Danio rerio: one gene and its partner. The protein of the gene in region 2 interacts with the protein of the main gene of each other region in a pairwise test. Links are inferred from orthologs where the notes say so. Each region holds a gene or a part of one and is shown on either strand. Other genes may lie near its edges.

Region 1 (11,509 bases), on a different chromosome or scaffold from region 2:
TATTTTAATTGTTTGAATTTGAGGGGACTTTCAGGTGTTTTGAACTGAAGCACATTAGTGTACGACAGTGTTAGTTTAACATAGTACTATTTTAATATTTATTTGAATTAACTAGTCTGCATTTAAATTTAAATTTGAAAAAATATATTGTAGTCTTATATATATATATATATATATATATATATATATATATATATATATATATATATATATATATATATATATATATATATATATATATATATATATATATATATATATATATATATATATATATATATATATTCTTTTTATTTACATTTTGGTTGAATATGTCTATATAGTTAATTATTTTATATAGGTATTTTTAGTTTTAGTTATTAATTTAAATACTAAACTACTATATTTCAACAAACTAAACAAAAACAAATTATAAATGACAGACAGAACATTAGTTTGAAATTAAAAATAACCCTAGTGTATACAGCAGAAACTAAATTAGCTCATTTATACTCACATGACATCTCTTATGTATTGAATAGAGCTGTTTAAGATACAGCATATGCATAAATGTGCAAAAGAAATTGTTCATTACTTTGAAAAATGAGCAGAATGATGATGAGGACAAGCAGTCCTACAGGTCATGTTTGAGAAAAAAAAAAAAAAAACATTGGAAATGGGTTGAACATGAGCAAGCCTATGCTGTCAGTGATATGTCGTCTCGGTCCCAAGAGGGACAAGAATAAGTTGTGCAATTTGGTGAAGCGCAGACGGTCACTGTATCCCTCGGGAGGAATAAGCACTGTTCAGAGGACAGTCTTCGAATCTGACAGCCATTCCCACAGGACATTATAGAATACTTATGGACTTAAACGCAGGCAGAGACAACCGCACGAACCTTTTCTCTCGGAATTATTACCACACTCATCACTCTAATTCTCCCCTGGGCACGTTCTGTACCAGATCAGTACAAGATGCTTGTGCCATCCTGTGGTGTATCAGCATCAGTCATTTGTGAGGGGCATATGACACAGCTGCAGAGCAGGAGGATCAAGGACCTTGTCTGCAGCGCCTTCATAAATTCCGATCTTTCGTCTTTTATTCACAGCCCTCGGCCACTGCATGCCTGATGGAACAGCAGCGGCTCGCGGTGTCTTAGCTGCCAACCCTGACACTCAGACATCATCAGTCAAAGCAGCCTAGAGCTGCTGCCGACCACTCCTGAGACCACGCTGAAAAATTCACAAGCTGGAGCAACATCTATTACGCTGCATTTGCAGATGTATGAAGCTGTGGAAAACATTCGGTTAAAAGTGATAGATTGCAAACCACATTCCTAGTATATATTCCTATCAGATCCTATTTAGGAATGTTTATTGTATAATAAAAGGGATAGTTTACATATTAAATTGATGTCATCATTTGCACACTATTTATTTGTTCCAAACCAGTAAAAAAATAAAAATAAAATAAAAAAAAATTATATATATATATATATATATATATATATATATATATATATATATATATATATATATATATATATACACATATATATATACACATATATATATATATATATATATATATATTTTTTTTTTTTTTTTTTTTTTTTTCTTTCTTTCAAGTCAACACAAAAAAAGATATATTAAATAACGTTGACAACTAATAACCATTAATTCCCATAGTATTTGTTTTTCTAGTTACACTTTACAATAAGGCTGTATTAATTAATGTTAGTTGATGTATTTACTAACGCGAACAAAAAACAAACAATGCATTAATTACGATATTTAATCCCATTTTTAAGGTTAGTTAAAGGAAATAAAGTTAATGTAGTGTAATGAAATTTTTATTTAATGGCATGTCAGCAACAAAAGCTATTTTCATGGCAAGAAAATCTCAATAATTAATAAACAATAAAAACCAGCAAACACATAAATACATAAATTAAATACGATTTTTAGCGTTAATACATGATAAAAAGTCTAAAATTGATCCAGGTGTCACTTTGTTAAAAATGTCCTTAAGAAAGTTAATTTCATAAAAAAGCCTTATCATTAAAGTAGGACAGTGCAATAAAATGTGTTTTACAGTAAGGGGATTTGTGCAATTATTCATTGTTAGTTCATATTAACTCACAGTGCTTTCATGTTAACAAGCATGGATTTGGATGTAAATACACATTATACGTTAATAATGCATTAGGAAATGCTGAACTATGATTAATAAATGCTGCACAAGTACTCTTCATTATTAGTTTATGTTAGTAAGAACATTAACTAATGAAACCTTATTGTAAAGTGTGACCATTTTTCTCACTATGGAAGCCAATGGTTACATGTTTCAAACATTCTTCCATATATCTTGTTTTGTGCTAAAAAAAAAAGAAGACGAAAAAAAAAAACCTCAAAAGTGGTATGGAACAAATCAAGTAATGTGATTAAATGATGACAATTTTCATTTTTGGATAATCTATTCATTATTGCAAGTAAAATGTTGTATATTGTTTTAATAATGTATGTTGTAAAAATATTTTGTAGATAAATATATTGTATACTATATAAATATATTGTATAATTTAAAATAATGCATATTGTATTGTTTTTTGGAGTATGTTGTTGTATTTTGCATTGTCTGTATTTTAGAGCCAGCACCTAAGCTTTTCACTCATCATAGTACGTGTGTGGCTGATGATGTGACAATAAAAGTGATTTGATTTGAAATAGGAGTTAAATGTATTAATTAAAAGATTCTAAATTAAAATAATATAGATTACATTTCTAAAGGTTGTGGCTGTTAAAAGACACTTAAAAGCTTTTTTCCAGGTTTAAAACTACACTGTTTGTGTCTGTTACAATGGTCACTGTGTCAGATTATGCATGTTTGATTATTAAGATTATTGTCCCTTCATAGACAAGAAATTAGTCTAAAAAGTGTATTATTGGAGCACAAAACTATATTTTATTTTACCCCTTTGATTAACCTGTTTCATTTTCTCATTGCTTGAGTGATGACTCATGGCAGTTTCAGAAAAACTTGCATAGAAAACAGAGTGAGGTGGTATTTTGACTTAAAATAAAATGCTGTGTTGTGTAGACTTTGTTATAGCTTTGCTCAATGTTTTGTTATTCTACTGGCTATAAAGGACAAGAGCATAATTTTCTACTGATTTTGAGTACAAACGGTATGAATGAATACTCTTAAATATTCTTACAAATATAACAACCTTTTCACAAGTTCATATTCAGCTTTTTATTGGATTTTGCATTCTGTTACGTGATCATTTACTTTTCAAAGGCAGGTTAGCAAGATGAATATGTGTTTTTATTTATATCAATTCACTTTAAAAGTTCTGCTGAAAATATTGAGTTTTTACCTACAGATCTTACAATGCTTTTGTTTCAATCGTCTATACCGGGTAATGCTAAATACAGTAGTCTACATTAAAAGTGGGCCAAATGAATATTTCAATACTGTCCTAAGTCAAGAGTGGATATTGTCCAGTAGTTTTAGGGCAACTTTGATACTTTTTATTTTTTAATTTTAAATGTTGACTACTGTTGACATATTAATAAAAATACAATGATCATAATGCAAGCCATGCACATTGTTTGCATTTTAAACGCTTAATTATATTTTATATCATCAATTCAAGTTTAGCTTAAGAATATTTTTTAGGGCCAATGGAACCACACAAATATGCAAACAGGAATAATTTAGTAGTATATATATATGATACCTATATAATACTTAGCCCAACTAAAACACAGTAGAGTTACACATGTCTAACCTGCTGATCCCTGCTGACGGTATGGTCCTCCTTGAGGTTGTCCATAACCTCCGTATGGACCCCCTGGAGCTTGACCCCCTCCGTATGGTGCTCTTGGACCAGGTTGACCATAAGATCCATATGGAGACCCTCCTCCATACTGTTGCCCTGGAGGGGCACTGCCATAAGGTGAACCATACTGTCCAGCAGCAGGACCACCTGCATATGGTGCCCTTGGAGGCTGCTGCCACTGGGGAGCATTACCCCCTGGTCCCGAATAACCCTTTGGAAACAAGTAAAGAAAAGCATACGATATTAACTAGCTGAAATGAAATGCTTGTCATTGGGGTAAAGTGGGTTTTATATTCGCACATTCGTTCATTTTTGACCAATGACAATTTGTGACATGCTACTTTGAATATTGGGTCCTAAATTACAAACAAGAACGTCTTCAAAACAACATAAGCACTATTTAATTGACTGAACATTGTGTACTTTGATAATGATTGGCTGCTAATATGATTTCCCTTATTTTGAATTTCCAAAAAATAATTTTCTGAAATGATATTTGGTACCACATTTGCGAATATAAAACCAACTTTACCTCAAAACTGTTGTCAGTTGTGGTCTATAACAAATACAAATGCAATATCAAAGAATAATTAATAATAAAAATATTTCAAATGTTAATATTATGCTATTGTATTGAGGTTAAATTGGTTTTATATTTACATATTCTGACTTTGGTGTTCAATAAAATACTAAAGCAGAATGTAAAAAGGCTAATACTGATTAATTATAACGGCATACTTTTTTGAGCACAACTTGTGACACTGTCCCTAAACTGTTTACCACGCTACATTGAATATTGGGTTTTAAATTACAAGCAAGAATGTATTCAAAACAACATAAGCACTATTTAATTGACTGAACAGTGTTGTACTTTGATAGAAATTGGCTGCAAGTATGATTTCCCTATTAAGAATTTCCAAAGAATAATTTTCTGAAATTATATTTGGTACCACATTTGCGAATATAAAACAATTTTGCCTCAATGCTGGCAGTTATATAATTGTATTAAAGTTAAGTTAGTTTTATATTCACACATTCAGACTTTGGTGTTCAATAAAATACAAGAGAAGGATTTAAAATGCCTAATACAGGTTAATTGTAATGACATACATTAATGTTTCACACTAACTTCTGACAGAGACATGGTCCCTAAATAGTTTACCATTCTACGTTGAATATTGGGTCTGTAATCACACATAAGAATGGCTTCAAATCAATATAATCACTATTTAACTGACTGAACAATGTTGTACTTTGATAGTTATTGGGTGCTAATGTGATTTCCCTATTTTGAATTAGCAAAGAATACTTTTCTGAAATTATGTTAAGAAAGTGAAAGTGAATGTGCGAATGTAAAACCAACTTTACCTCAATTATAATTGTCAGTACAGCAGTAAACAGAAACAGATATTGATATTCCAATTCCGAGGAATAACACGAGAGCACATATTTACATATTTAATCCATTCACGTCACTGCATTTTTTCCATACAATGAAGGTGACTGTCTAGCATCCTCTCTTGTGTTTTGCGGATGAAAAGTGGCAACATTAATACACGAAGTTATACTGGTACACTCACGTTGTTATACTGTGATTATAGACCCTGGAATACATGTGAAATACGGTTTACTGACGGATGAGGGGAAAGAACACCACGGCTAGATTCAAGAGAGACATTTCTATTGTTAATCTTGGTCATATGACATTAACTAAAAAGATGCGTATGTTCACTAACGTTAAAACTACTGAAAGGCACGCGATTAACTGATTTGTTCAAACAAAAACCAAGGCATTGTACTTGTCATCACATTGTACATCACAGTAGCAACAGGGCTAACTGATTAGCCTAAAAGCCTGTTTCTACAAATATTTACGCGATTGTGCGAGTAATTAAGCATAATTTCACTATACATTAAGTTCAGATTCTAAGACACAAACCAGACACCCACATAAACATAAAACACACATATATTAATGTCAAATAGTTAAACCCGGAAGACAAACTTTACCTGTCCGTATTGATAACTCATTCCGCGAAAAATCTTTAGCAAATGGAGCGACTGGGGTTTATTTAACAAGACCCGCCTCTTAACGCTGATTGGTGCGTTTTCACGTTTGTCAACGGAAAAGCCTCATATTTCAATCTGATTGGTTAAAGCAATGGAAAATTGCTCATAGCTTACACTGTGAGTCACGCTATGTACGTAAAGACACGTTTTGTTGTAGTTACCATGTTTATAAAGGAGGATAGATATAATATGTAAGGTAAGAGTTAACATTTTTTATGGAACTTGAAATGAAAGTTCATCAAATAAGGTTTTTACACAGAGCCCTGTGACTAAAGATTTGTCCTGACTTGACTTGACATTGTCATTAGATGATAAGATCTAACCTTATTTTGACGATCCGTTTGTTGAATTTAAGTTACATTGCATCTACATGCAAACTAATTCTTATTAGATTATAAGTAGACTGTTACTATTAGTAGGGGTTAGGTTTGGGGTTAGTGTAAGTTGACATGTACTTGCAAAGTTTCTTATAGTCAGTTAAACGTCTGTTGAAGGAGATATTAAGCAGACAGCACTAATACTCAAATGGACCATCAAAATAAAGTGTTACCAAATTAAATTCTATAATAATCATCATCATCGCATTAAGTAGTTTATTAAATAGCATTAATAATATTCAAATCTAATGAGTCGTGTTCAAAATATACCCTGCCACATTTGGTATATTTCACAGCATGATTCCTGTAAACAATATGAATACACAGTGCACTAACTTACACAGACTATTACATTATATAGTACAAACACAGCTATTTTAGAAAATAAGGAAGGCATTAATGTGTCCACAGTTAATACAGTACCTTTTTCAAGGGTTTAAGTGCTGTATGCTATCAGTGTTTTGTGAACAATCCTACACTTGGATAAGTACACTAGGTGGCAGTGTACATCTTAAATGAGTAAATGAGACACAAGATGACCTTCCAATTTCATCACAATTATAACATACTGTATACAAAAAAGACATATATTAGTTACTTTAAAGTGCAAATATCCCATTTAGTGTATGCATTAATCATATTATCTACATTATTATTCAAGTTCATTGTGTCTACTATTATAATTCATTACAAAGTCAGCGTTCATATAATTTGTTCAACTCGGAATGGATCATCTCAGAATTTTTTAGTTCTTCTGCAGCCTGTGCCATTTTAAGATTGTTGAGATTCTGGTTGGACATGGCCGTCGGATCCACCCTTCTGCTTATGTAGTTTCTATTCTCCTCACTCTTTTTGTGCAGAAATTTGCCAGCTTTCTTTGTAATCAGATACACCATCTCACAGATACACATGAAGATGCACACAGAGGAGGAGACCACCATAAAAAGAGTGAAGATTTTCTTCTCTGTGGGACGGGAGATATAGCAGTCCACTGTATTTGGACAAGGTTCCGCAGTGCATTTGGTAACATTTGGCATGTCGAATTTATAAAGGTAGTACAAAATATACAAGAATGCTGCATCAAAGCCGGCTTTGAATAACAGGCTGAGGATATAGGTGTACCACAGGCCTCCACGCTTTCTTCCTGGGTTTGCATACATGTTTTCACCATTGCGGGCAGTGTTGTACTTCACATTCTTCATTTGTCGATATTTGACGTGAGCGACCACCATGAGAGATGGACAAGTGACGAAAATAAGCTGGAGAGCCCATAGACGGATGTGGGATATGGGGAAGAACTGGTCGTAGCAGACATTGGTGCAGCCTGGCTGGGCCGTGTTGCAGATGAAGTCTTTCTGTTCGTCGTTCCAGACTTGCTGGACAGACACCACAAACACCAGGATTCGGAAGATGAACACCACGGAGAGATAGACACGGCCAAACACAGTGGAGTATTGGCTAACCCCGCCAAGCAGGACTTCTAGGGACAACCAGTTCATGTCTGATGCTGCAAACAAGCGTCTTACTCATTCCAGGATATTAGCCCTACAAAATAAATACATAAACAAGCAAATTTGTTTTTATTTACATTAAAATAGTACTTGCTTTTTTTCTCTTTTAGTACATTTAGAGTTCCTTTGCCTTCTTCATCTAATAGGTCAACTTAAGGCTTCAATATACTTCAAGCTCAAATTGTAAACAAAGTCAGGCTAACATGAAGATAGTGCTGGGATTTTAAAACTGCTGTAGTTTTAGTTAAATGTTGATCTAAACATTAAACATCTTAGCAGCATGAATGACATCAAGATCACAACAATATTTATTAAAACAGTTTGATACTTTCAAAATTATTTTTATCCCTAAATGAAAAGGAAATATGAGTATATTTGGTCATACAGGTATATTTATTCATAATAACATGCTGAATCTATTTTATGAATAAAATATACTGTAGATGATTTTTGAAAACAATAATAATTTAATAATACTGTTGAATTAATATCCATATTTTTTTCATTATGAGCATTGCAATGTTCCTTTTTTTTAAGACCCGTGTTATTTAAAATGATTTAAACCTTTACAATTTTAGTAATACTTTTATTTATAAATATTTATTTAATGTATATTGGACAAGATTTTTAACCTAGCTGTACTGTACATAATACTTTTTAATATTTTTATTTATTTATTTACTTAATTCACACACAGACACACACATGTAATCAGGTTTTATTCATACTTTTAAAAAGTACACCTTTTGTATTTATTTATGCATTAAATATTTATATATTTATTTATTTTGTCATTTTTAATACTATTATGACCCATACTGTCCCGAAATCAACTTTCTGAAATCTAAATACTTTCAGTTTCACATTGAGTATTCTATTGTTCTCAACAGAATGGCCTTTGAGCAACACTGTTGTTCTGCTTTTCAATGATTAATTCAACTCTCAACTCAACTCAATTTATTTTTAGAGCAATTTCAACCAACCACAATGGGTACCAAAGTGCTGTACATAAAAACACACAATACATGCAAACATGCAAGAAGCCAAAATACACTTATTACTCACAACACATGATTAAAAGCTAAAGAAAACAAGTGTTTTCCGTAACCTCTGAATTCAATCAGTTTTTTTCCTTTCTTTAATTTTTAAAGACAATTTGTTCCCCAAAAAATTAAAGAAGAAAAAAATTGAGGAAAGATATTGATGGTGTCACCTTTCAAGCATGTAATGTCAACAGGTTGCAACATGCAGTTAAATTATTTCTAAAGGCAGCAATGATCCATTTTTGGCGGCTTTCGTTTGATTCTTTCCCCCTTTTGTTCACAAAGCAATCAACACATTTGAACGAAAACAAGTCAACATATGTAGTTAAGGATAGTATTGTTAATTTTTATTGTTTACCAATTTAGATCTGCATATCTTTTACCATAGTATTAAATGTGTTCTTGTTAGTTTTCAGTAGAAATAGCATTTGCATTGACAACTAACTAGGTCACATAATTAGTATGCTGTAACCTGTCATTAGTTTGACACAAACCGTAATTAAAAGTACAAGAAGCTAACTATTAGTGTTATTTAGATTTTAGATTTGTGAATCCAAAGCATAACAATGGGCTCTAATTTAGCTTTATGAGAAACTGTACAAAATGCCCCAATCAAATTAGCATATCCAATTATGTTTGTTAACGGTCAAAATAATACTGTACATACTGAAACAATACAGTATCTACAGTGCTAGCTGATTTGTATATAAACTATTTTTATAAACTTTATTTTGAAGAAATCCAAGCGATATGTCCTTACCTTTTGGGATTTCGGCTGTTGTGAGGAAGAGCAATAGCTTTTCCTTTGGCTGACAATCAAGAAAGACCTGATTGGTGGAAAGTGTCTGATTCTATCTATGACAATCACCTGAGTTTAGATGAAATGAAATCTAATGAATCAAAACAAAAATAAAACTGTCTAACTTCTGCTTCCACTCAGCTGTGGGGTATTTACTATGGTAATCAGTTTTTTTATAACGCCCATTGCCAGGGGCATTACATAAAGGTTGTTTAAAGCTAAGCAAACCTTCATGGGATGGCAATTCTTTGTTTATATACTGTAGGTGCTGTAGGTGTGTGTGTGTTTATATGGGTGTGTGTGTGTGTGTTTTGCTGACTACTGTACTGCACTGTATGAGGAGTGCTAGCATTAAAAAAACATTGTTTTATATACAAAGACATAATCTTATATTGCGGTGAGAACTAAATTCTTGTAAAGCTACAGTATATATTCTTATCAATCTTTTATAACTGAAAATTTGACATCCCATTTTTAACGAATCATGAAGACAGTTTTTTATTCTTTTTTATGTTGTCACATAAAATACTGTAGTTTAAAGATAATAAGCAGGATAATATTAAAAGTTTTAAAAGTTTTAAAAGTTCAAAATGTTCAAAGCAATTGCAGTCAAACTGAAAGTGTCTGTACAATATTTATAAACCAGGCTAAAAACAACATTCCATGAATGGGTGGAATATTTTATGTATGTGCCATTTAAAAAAAAAAACAAAACAAAAAAAACGATACAACATCCTGGTTAAGACTGTAACCCACGTTCCCCGAGGGAGGGAATGGAGACGTTGTGTCCTTAAAAGAACTGATCGAGAATCGCCAATAACCAATCTCTCTGAAGAGTAAAGCCGCGGAAACACTGCACTTTTCGCCCCATAGACTTCCATCCATATGCAAGCAAATGCAACAAACTGGAAACAAAAGCTCATACATTTCACGGTTTGCTGCATTGCAAAGTTCAAGCTCGGTGAACTTTAACCTGCAAAATTGCATCACGTGACTGCATGAGACCAATCGAAGATTAAAACAGGACCTCTCTGTACAGAAAATTTTAATTTTCAGTTCATCTTTATTTGTTTAGCGCTTTTACAAATTTAGATTGTGTCAAAGCAGCTTTACATTAAAGATTATACTGAATTGAAACTGTGTCAGTTCAGTTTTCAGAGTTTAAATTCAATTCAGTTTAGTTCAGTTCAGGTGAGTGTGGTTTAATATTTACTGAGAGTCCAACCGCTGAAGAGTAATCTATTGATGCGCAGCTCTACAAGTCCTGAACCATACAAACCAGAGACAAGAGCAGTGAGAAAAAAAAACTTCACCAATTGGCGAAAGTGAAGGATATGGACCAATCGCTCATTTTTTAGGGCCCTATCATACACCCAGCGCAATGCGGCGCAACGCAATTGTTGTTTGCTAGTTTTAGCTCGGCGCAATAGTCATTTTAGACGTTTTGCAACACGCTGTTTTAATAGCAAATGCATTTGCGCTCATATGTGCGCCCATAGGCGTTCTGGTTTAAAAAAGGAGGCGTGTTGCTATTTCGGAAGTCCAGCGCAGAGCGCGTTAGTTGTGCGCCTCGCTTAAATATTGCTTAATACACACTGAATGTACAGCAATACGCAAATATCTTTAAAAATTAAAAATAATTAAAGGAATAAAGTATTACAAAAATTATTATTTTCTAGCCTACTTAAATATTAAATCCACCACCTCCATGCCTTCTTCACCTCGCGGGGCTTTTTTAGTTTATTCATGACAATTTGCTTTTGTATAATGTTATTTTTAGTAGTAGTATCATTTATTATATGCATATTTATATTTGTTTTATTAAAAACAAGCTTAGATTTGCCCACCTGTCAGCATGTGTATTTGGAAAACACTTCGTTATTATT
Region 2 (9,263 bases):
TATATATATATATATATATATATATATATATATATATATATATGTATGTGTGTGTGTGTGTGTGTGTGTGTGTGTGTGTGTGTGTGTATATATATATATATATATATATATATATATATATATATATATATATATATATATATATATATATATATATATATATATATATATGTATGTATGTACACACACACACACACATAAGGTATAAAAATGCAATTAGTACACCCACATTAATGTGTAGTAAATAAAATTAATAAAACATGAAAAATCAAGAGAAACATAAAAATGTCCAATTTTGTTTAAGTGTTGTTTTTGTATTTTTTTCTGTTGCAATAACTTATTTGATTTTAAATGTATTACATTTTTACTTCTAAAGATGTTAGGCGACCAATCTCTAATTTTAATGGATATAACTGTTTAATAAAACTATGGTTTAAATGAAGCAAAAATTATTGGCTAATTATTGGCTATTTTTACTAACAAATTGATAAATGTTCATTTTTAGGGGTGTACTCATTTTTGCTGAGCACTGTAAAAAAATATAAACATATTACACACACATTATTTATACATTACGCAGGCCTAGAAATCTCACCTTTAAAATTAACCTTCTTAATATACAGATTGTCTAAAACCATAGGAAAACAAACTGCTGTTGAAGGGGATTATTAACATACAAATTTTATTAGTGGTTTTAAAAAGTCATCTTAAGAACCCCAAAAACCTCCTAGGCCCCGTGTTGCAAACCACCCATGTTAAAGAATCCACTAGTCACAGGCTTGTTCTTAAAGAATAGGAGTAATACTGAATGTTTATTAACACTGCATTAAATCAGTTAACATCTGTAATGGATGTAAAAAAAAAATGTACGTTAAACTATTTCTTGCTCTACAGGTATTTCTACACTAAAGTGCGATTTAAAGGGTCCATCACCTAAACTTTAGGTCCAACTGCCTCCTCAATCCCTATTTGAACGCAGCTGATAAGCTCAAAAGGCTTGACATCGACTCGCTATCAGATCACATCTGGTTTTATTGCACCCTCTGCTGGACACCCTCTATAGCTGTTTCCTTGAAAGAGAAAAACGACATCTCCTGGTTGGATGTAATATTACCAAGTTCAACATTTTTAAGATTAAAAGCTTAAGTCCGCAATATTACACCACCCATGCTGATGTAGGATTATGTGCTTAACAGAGAGTCCATTTTAACCCAAAGGTTACTGCTCAGTATAAAACTCTGTGTTTTTTGGGTCACAAAGATACAAGCTTTAAATTTAATATTCTGGTTTTATTCTATTCTCATAAAGTTCTTCTAAAGAGTATTAAAAACAATGTGAGCTGCATATTAATGTTGTCCTTATAGTGCAGTACGCCATTTTGATTATTCTTTCAAGAGACAGCATGACACTGGAGCGTTTTTGGAATCTGATCTCACTGCAGGTAAGAAAAACCTACACATGCTCACTGACCTTAACTCTGAGAATGATTAATATTAATGAGATCTGTTGTTGTTGAGCCTGTATCAGTGGCCTGTTGTCATTTACAACAGAAAATAAGCCTTAGATTGTAGAAATAAATAACACATTTACAATAATAAATAAAGCTACAATCAAAGACTTCATAGAAAGGTTAAACAAAAAAATACAAGCGACACATTTAAGATTAAAAAGCACAAAAACAATGATGACCTGTAAAGCTTTTCTAGATTGTTTTTTTATGTTGGAATTACATTTTACCCCAATTAACTTCTGGTTATGTGAAACAACTGGGTGTTTGAATTCTGTATATATTATAAAGAGTGTCACAATGTTACCTGTTGTGAGAAAATTATAAATATTTCGCTATTTTTGGAGCTGTGGTGTACCTATTTTGATTTCTTTTAGCTTTTTGTCTACTGGATGTGCACCCTTGGTGTGTTTTTGCTTGTATTCTGTATGTGTAAACAGTTACATCACATTCTTCACATGCTGTTTCAAGGCAATACCTAATGAAAACAACCACATTTATTTTTTTTATGTTCAAAACACGGCTGGTATGCAATTCCATCATATGCCCATATATTCCACTGTAAGTGTATTACTGCAAACGTTTTTATATAATCCAATATATTAAGATATGCAAAAATCCCCAAGCATTGCTGGTTTCTTACCAAAAAGAGTGAGCTTCAATATTCTACTGCACTGGATCGCAAAAGACAAATCAGAACTGTCAAAGATGGTGATAAGGTCGTCATCTGGAAGAAAAAAAGACAAAGATGAATGATGAAAAAGGTAGCAGAGAATGAAATCGTTATTTGCAGGTGGACATCTAGACAGTGATACTACTGAGGGATTTCGATATGTGTATAGCTCCTATATGTTTTTTGCTTCATTGCTATTAAAAAAACCGAGTAACTATTTGAATAGTGTGAAATTACTAAAAAAGTTAAGTTGTAACTTTCTGAAGCCTAAATCTGACCTTCGTCCTTGTATTTGATGGTGACTTCATCGCTGCTCTGTAACTGGCCACGAAAAACTCTCTGCATCATCAGCAGGAGCTCGTCGTAGGTGATGTCTTCATTGTGGATAGGAATACGGCGAATATCATCACCCAGCTGAGCTTTGATGATCAGCTTCCCACTCAGGTCCAGCTGTCCATTCATACTGCTGAAAATAAAACTGTACTGTAAATACTACATAGGGGAAAAATATGCGTGATTCATCAATTCGGTTCTGATAGCTAAAAAGCACAGTATTTAATATAATTTAATTGAATACAATAATAAATGAGAAAGAAAATTTGTGAAATTAAACAAAAACCTTAATCTATTAGTAAAAAAAAATATTAGAGATGCAAAAAATAAAGGTTTTAAAATGTTAAGCCACTATTTGACAAGGTTGCCATCAGATTTGATCGAACAAATTATAGTAATATGTTGTCAAATATGCTATTCTTGTTAAAACAGTATGGTTTATCCAAAGCAATACAGTAGCAAATGAGACATACACTACTGCATACTAAACTGCTTAAATTTAACTCAACAAAACACTTAAATATGGCTCAAAATGATACACAAACAACAACAAAAATGGTTTACTATTTGCTTACTCTATTGACAAGGCTGTACCAGAGTAAGGCAAGGCAATTTATTTGTATAGCCCATTTCATACACAATGGTAATTCAAAGTACTATACATAAACAGGAATAAGAGAGACAAGTATAAGAAAATAAAAACAAAAAATAAAAATGATTTAAAACAAATAAAACAGATTAAAATGCATTAAAACAGGTTTTAATAGAATGAAAAATAAAAGAAAGACATTAGTGCGGTCTGTCAGACATCGCACAGTGCTTGTGAGAAAGATCTAAAAAATTTTATGCCAGGTCATATACTATCACTCGTACAATTATCCAGTTTATTAAAAAAAAGAGGTCATTTATCAATATATAATGCATCACATGCACATCAGACGTCATCTGATAGTACATCACCAAGCTGAGACCAAACACACCATCAGAGCTGCAGCACTGAATTAAAGGTCTTCATGCACAAACTCATAAAACCGACAACACACTCATTATGTTCCTCTAACAGAACCACACATTTCCACTCGCAACACAACAGTTCACCATAAAATCCGAGAGCCGTAACCCAATGAGTGTCTGCACTCACCACCGACTCTCAAGCTTTTGTTATGTATATAAAAACATTGTCGTACTCCAAAACCCACAGCCATATGACTCAAATATTAGGTTTTATCTGAACAAGTGCTACTGTACAGATATATTAGTTTACTGGGACATACTACAACTTCCTAAAAGTCTAAGGGTCACGAGATAGAAGATGATTTGGCACATGTTGAGGACCATGAATCTTTCCTAACACAGACTTTGGCCTAAGAAAAAAACGGTAAAACATTTCAGGTTTTAGATTTCATTTTAAATGATTTGATCAACTGAAGCAATCTTATCAGGACAGTCTCGACTTTCTTACTTTGATCTTACTCTCTGATTTATTCAAACTAGCAATGTTCACAGCAGCATGTGGACAGACCTGTATTTAACTCACATGGTATTCAGTGATAACTACTGACTGAAACTCATTCTGCCTGCTGGATTAGGAAAAATGCCATACAACTGGCTGCTTGGCAAACTGTTCAAAGGCTGATTTATTCAGGATTACATGTCTTAAAGATGTGGCATTAGCTGTTATAACATTTTGTACGATTTTGTCATGGATATGGGGAGTTTCTCATGGGTGGACACGTTAAACAGGGCAGACACAGATGAAAATAACAGCGTCACTTTAGCCATTTTAGTAATTTCAATCAGGTTATTAAAGCATGAGTTTTTTTGTTGGTTTTTTTTTGTTGATAATTTCCCACATCGGGCCATTTTCCATCATCGCAGCTGGGTGACGTTTAAAAGTCTTGCCAAAGCGTGATCCATTTAAAACATCCCATCAGGCCTCATTCACCTGATGATGCAGCAACTTCCTGCCAAATAAAGGTCTGAGGGTAACAATTCTCCCGGCGTCAAAAGAAAAAATAAATCTCAATATATTGTAACAGCTACTATTTCCGTGGTTTGAGTACGACTATTTAACTACGCCATACTGTGGTTTAAAACGCTGAACAAAACGTCTTTCTTGTTTTTAGCTTGCCCTAGTTTCACACAGGCTAAGCTAAGCTAATGCTAGTTTGCTTGACAACCGGCTAAATACTAAGGGTTCATTTCCAGAGGTGCCCAAAAAACCTCTAAAGTTGTTGTATAAGAATATGTAAATGTTTATACGAAAAGCCTGCGCCTGTACCTGGTGTTTTGGACGTGTCAATCCCAGCAGTAGCCTGTGTGTCCTGGACTTCAGCTGAACGATGCCTGACTGACTGATCGGAAACGCCTCACAGCGACCTGTACGTGGCAAAACCACAAACGCGCATGCGCGCTATCCAGACACTGCTCACTTGTTTTGTAAATTTAATTACTACCGATAAGGTGGTCTGTATCCTGAATGGATTTTATTTTACTACTGAATTTTTATAACTTCTTTGTTATACTTTTCCTATGGTATATAAAAGATTATTTTTTTTTAATTAAGATATTTTTATCTAAGGTTATGATACCAACAGAATCTTATCAGGCCCATACTTGCATATTACATTCTAATAATTATTTTCTTATCATCAGAATACTATTTTTATTTGAACATCTTTCTAAGTAAATTATTATTTTAAATTATTATTATTTTATATGTGTTTTTTAATAAATTTAAATATATAAATTGTGTGTGTGTGTGTGTGTGTGTATATAACTTAAATTGTATTATTGCTGTCGCCTCACAGCAAGAAGGTCGCTGGCTCAAGCCTCGGCTGGTCCAGTTGGAGTTTCTGTGTGGAGTTCTCTAGGTAGGCTAAATTGTCCGTAGTGTATGAGTGTGAATGAGTATATGGATGTTTCCCAGAGAGGGGTTGCGGCTGGAAGGGCATCTGCTGTGTAAAACAAGTGCTGGATAAGTTGGTGGTTCATTCTGCTGTGGTGACCCCAGATTAATAAAGGGACTAAGCCAAAAAGAAAATAATGAATGAATGAATATTTTGCCGTGCCCTGAATAGACCCAGGCCCCAGTTTGAATCTGTCTTATAAAGCCACATAATTAATTGTTGTGAATGTAGTACATTTGACTATGGCTATTTCACTCCCAGTATGCCAAAATAATAGGCTCTTATTCAGTTAATAATAATATATTAGGCTTTGTAAAATTATCAGTTCAGTTTGCATTACAAATTATATTTGGACAAGTAAAAACTTTAATATCAGGCCTGTTTTCCTTGATCTTTATAATGACTGCCAACCGCTTTTCCACTAGACATTTTAAACAAGTTAAAAAAAAAAAAAAAAAAACATGAAACCAGTGAAATTTTCAAAACTCTTTCCTCTGGATGTTGAACCTGCATTCAAAAAAAGAATCACATTCAAGCTGTTTACTATGATAATAATAAAGGAAAAATACATTTCTGCAGATAATGAGCGCTAAAACTACACAGAGAAGCCTGACACTCTGTTAAATTAGAAACATCAAGAAATTAAATGAAATACTTAATATTAACTACACTGTGCTTCCCAGTGATGGGTTGTTGCTGGGAGATGAAAACATAAAACATATGCTAGATAAGTTGGTGGTTGATTCCGCTGTGGCGACCCCTGATGAAAAAAGGGACTAAGCTAAAAAGAAAATGAATGAATTCACTGCAATTAAATATCTAAAGTATTTTTTTATTATTATTTATAAAGTGTAACATATGAATTGTATGGCTCTGTATAAACACACTGTAGACTGCAAACCTTCTGAATCGGAGGTAACAACTTGCAATGTAACAAAATGTTTTGTTTTAAATTAAATCTTAAAACATTTATATTGCAAAGTGAACATATATACGAAATATACGACAATACATGTAAAATACATCAAATGAACTGGCTTACAGTTATATATGAAGAGTATATGCAAAAATCTCTAAGTGTCATCTTACATCTTATCCTAAAATTCAACATTTTCTCAAGATTCTGTGTGTACAGTATGTTCAGTTATTTCACTTACAATGCAATGACAAGAAATGAAATGACTGAACCTACACAAGGATTTCTTGGAGAAAGTCTATTTTTAGAAGAAAATTTCAGATGTAACTGATCAGCTTTTTATTATAAAACATTATAAATGACTCCATGCATTATACAGTAGCAACTGAGACATAAATAGCGGTGAATGATTTCAGAAATGTTTTTATTTCTTCTTCTTCTCTAGTGTTGAGTTGAACCAGGCATCTAGAAGCTTCTTGCTGTAGTAGATCTGCCATGCATGCACTTGAATTGCAATCACCATGAGTAGATACATCACAGAAACAGCCGAGAAGCCGAAGATAAACCTGTAGGCTTTTCCATGTCGGTACAGCTGCTGGGCCAGAGGAAACATTTCCATCGCACCAAAAATCAAGGGTGCCACAGAGAACAATCCAGCACTTATCATGGAGATCACCAGGTAGCTGATGTTGTTTTTCGGCATGGCCAGCGCTCCAATAAACGAGGGCACGAGACTCAGAAGATATGGATACTCCCACTGATAGGGCATGGCCACCAGGTCATGAGACACCAAATTGAGGTGACTAACAGCCACTTGAGCTGCCACCAGTATCCATATGAGGAAATGCACTACGGTGAGCTTCTTTATCTCAGATTTTGATGAAGCACTGAAAGACAGGATTGGTGATGATGATAGATTGGTAATGTTATTGGTCATGTTAGATTGCAGGGATAGTTTGATGATATAGTTACCTCATTTGATAATGAGAAGCCACTTTCTCTCTGTGTTTGAAATCACCGCCATCAGTCCCTGCAGCTCTTGGCCCTGCACGAGATGCCATTGCCAATATCCAGATGACTGGAACACCATGCAAGTATATGCAGAAAAATAGATAGATTTAACAATTGATGTAAAGTTGATTTTATTTTTGCACATTTGGACTTTTTTCCTAATATTATAATTTCAGAAAAGTAATCTTTGCAAAATCTAAATTGGGAAATCATATTAGCAGCCAATGGCTATCAAAGAGCAACATGTTCAGAGTCAGTTCAATAGTGCTAAGGTTGTTTGAAGTCGTACTTTACATGCAAATATTCAAAGTAAAGTGGTAAATATAAGGACTGTGTCGCAAGTTGTCACTGTTCAAAAGTGAGTGAAAGTGTGAATATGAAAAAAATAATTACCTTAATGATTTATCTTTGTCTTATTAGTCAGAAAGATAAAGACTGGATATTGATACTACAGCTATTGAGAAAATGAGTGACCATTTGAAAATGATTGTAATTGTATTTACACTGCTCAAAAAAAAAAAAAAAAATAGGGAACACTTCAACAACACAATGTTCCCTTTATTTTCTTGAGCAGTATATATATATATATATATATATATATATATATATATATATATATATATATATATATATATATAGATAGATAGATAGATAGATAGATAGATAGATAGATAGATAGATAGATAGATAGATAGATAGATAGATAGATAGATAGATAGATAGATAGATAGAGAATTTCATAGACAAACAGATTCAAGATTCAATACAGATAGACAGACAAACAGACAACACAATACCAATGTTTTAACTTAGGGAAAATTATAAAAATCTAAATTAATGTTTTAATTGGAGAAAATTCTCACCAGACCTTTACCACAATGAAACAAATATTACAAATTTACTAAATCTAAATTACCTTATCTTTAAATCCAGTATATCCGCGTATAGACAAAGCTGTAGCAGTCTATAAGCTAAGTTGACCAATTTTGCGTTTTCATATATAAGCATCGAAAGTGAAACACAATAATGCCTTTTTCTGGACAACTCAAAAACATAGGTACATCTTGCCTGCCGGTTTCCGGATGAGGGATAAACTAAACTCACCGTTCAAGAGACGTAATTAAAAGACGTGACACTGTACACATCGACAACTACTTTTCATGCAATGCGCCTTTAAATCGGCAATATAACCTACCGTATATCTTGATAAAACGTATCCGAAAGCGCCAGCGAGTACCCAAGATGAGGAAATGTTAACACAAAGGCTTTTTATCAATGAAAGGCAATAATATGTTGATCATGCGCACAAGATAGGCAGTAAAGGATCTCTCCGCCCCTCCGCACGCATTGATTTGACAGCAGCATCTCTTTCTGCGCATCCTCAGCATCACCGAGCACTGAGCAGGATGTGGGGGATTGTCTCATGAATATTAATTAGGTCCTCGACGGCCATTCTGTGGAAAGCGGATGTAATGTAACATCTGGCGTAATGCCTGCCTGGGTTATTAATATTAATTCGGTCACGTGACTAGAAAGATCCCAGCAAACAATGAGTTGGCGGACCGTTGGCGTTTTTTGGTCGGCACAAATTCAGCGGCTTGATACGAGCGGACCGCCGTCAGCTCACCGGCGGCAAGCCGCCCATTCTAAAAGTTATGTCGGCCCACCGGCGTTTTTTGGGTGGCACGCCGCCAGCGGATTACCGTGGGTGGACCGCCGTCGGGACACCATTGGCAAACCGATGGCCCACCCGGTGATGTTTTTAATGTTGTAGGCTGTTCTGTACCTGATATAAGTACTTTTGTTTAACACTTTTTACATTTAAAACGAATAAGGCACTGAATAAAAATATAGTTATTAATAAAAGCAAAGTTTAGTATATAAAACTAAAAGAGGTTTTAAATATAACAGGTT

What was found.
Region 1: the proteins of tfg (region 2) and pef1 interact in binary tests that used the Homo sapiens proteins (3 or more experiments, as listed by UniProt). The two-hybrid records come from large-scale screens. The link is inferred for Danio rerio from reciprocal best matches to the Homo sapiens genes TFG and PEF1.

Annotation. Positions count from the first base shown.
Region 1 is NC_133194.1:39,705,013-39,716,521, reverse strand, and holds the start of pef1 (peflin), read right to left. Parts: upstream 5,874-11,509; 5' UTR 5,855-5,873; coding exon 5,834-5,854; intron 4,035-5,833; coding exon 3,773-4,034; intron 1-3,772. Other genes in the region: gjb9b (gap junction protein beta 9b), read right to left, coding at 6,966-7,769. UniProt on the Homo sapiens protein: Calcium-binding protein that acts as an adapter that bridges unrelated proteins or stabilizes weak protein-protein complexes in response to calcium.
Region 2 is NC_133184.1:31,782,558-31,791,820, reverse strand, and holds the start of tfg (protein TFG), read right to left. Parts: upstream 4,926-9,263; 5' UTR 4,795-4,925; intron 2,647-4,794; 5' UTR 2,643-2,646; coding exon 2,459-2,642; intron 2,235-2,458; coding exon 2,151-2,234; intron 1-2,150. Other genes in the region: jagn1a (protein jagunal homolog 1-A), read right to left, coding at 6,763-7,225, 7,311-7,399. UniProt on the Homo sapiens protein: Plays a role in the normal dynamic function of the endoplasmic reticulum (ER) and its associated microtubules. Required for secretory cargo traffic from the endoplasmic reticulum to the Golgi apparatus.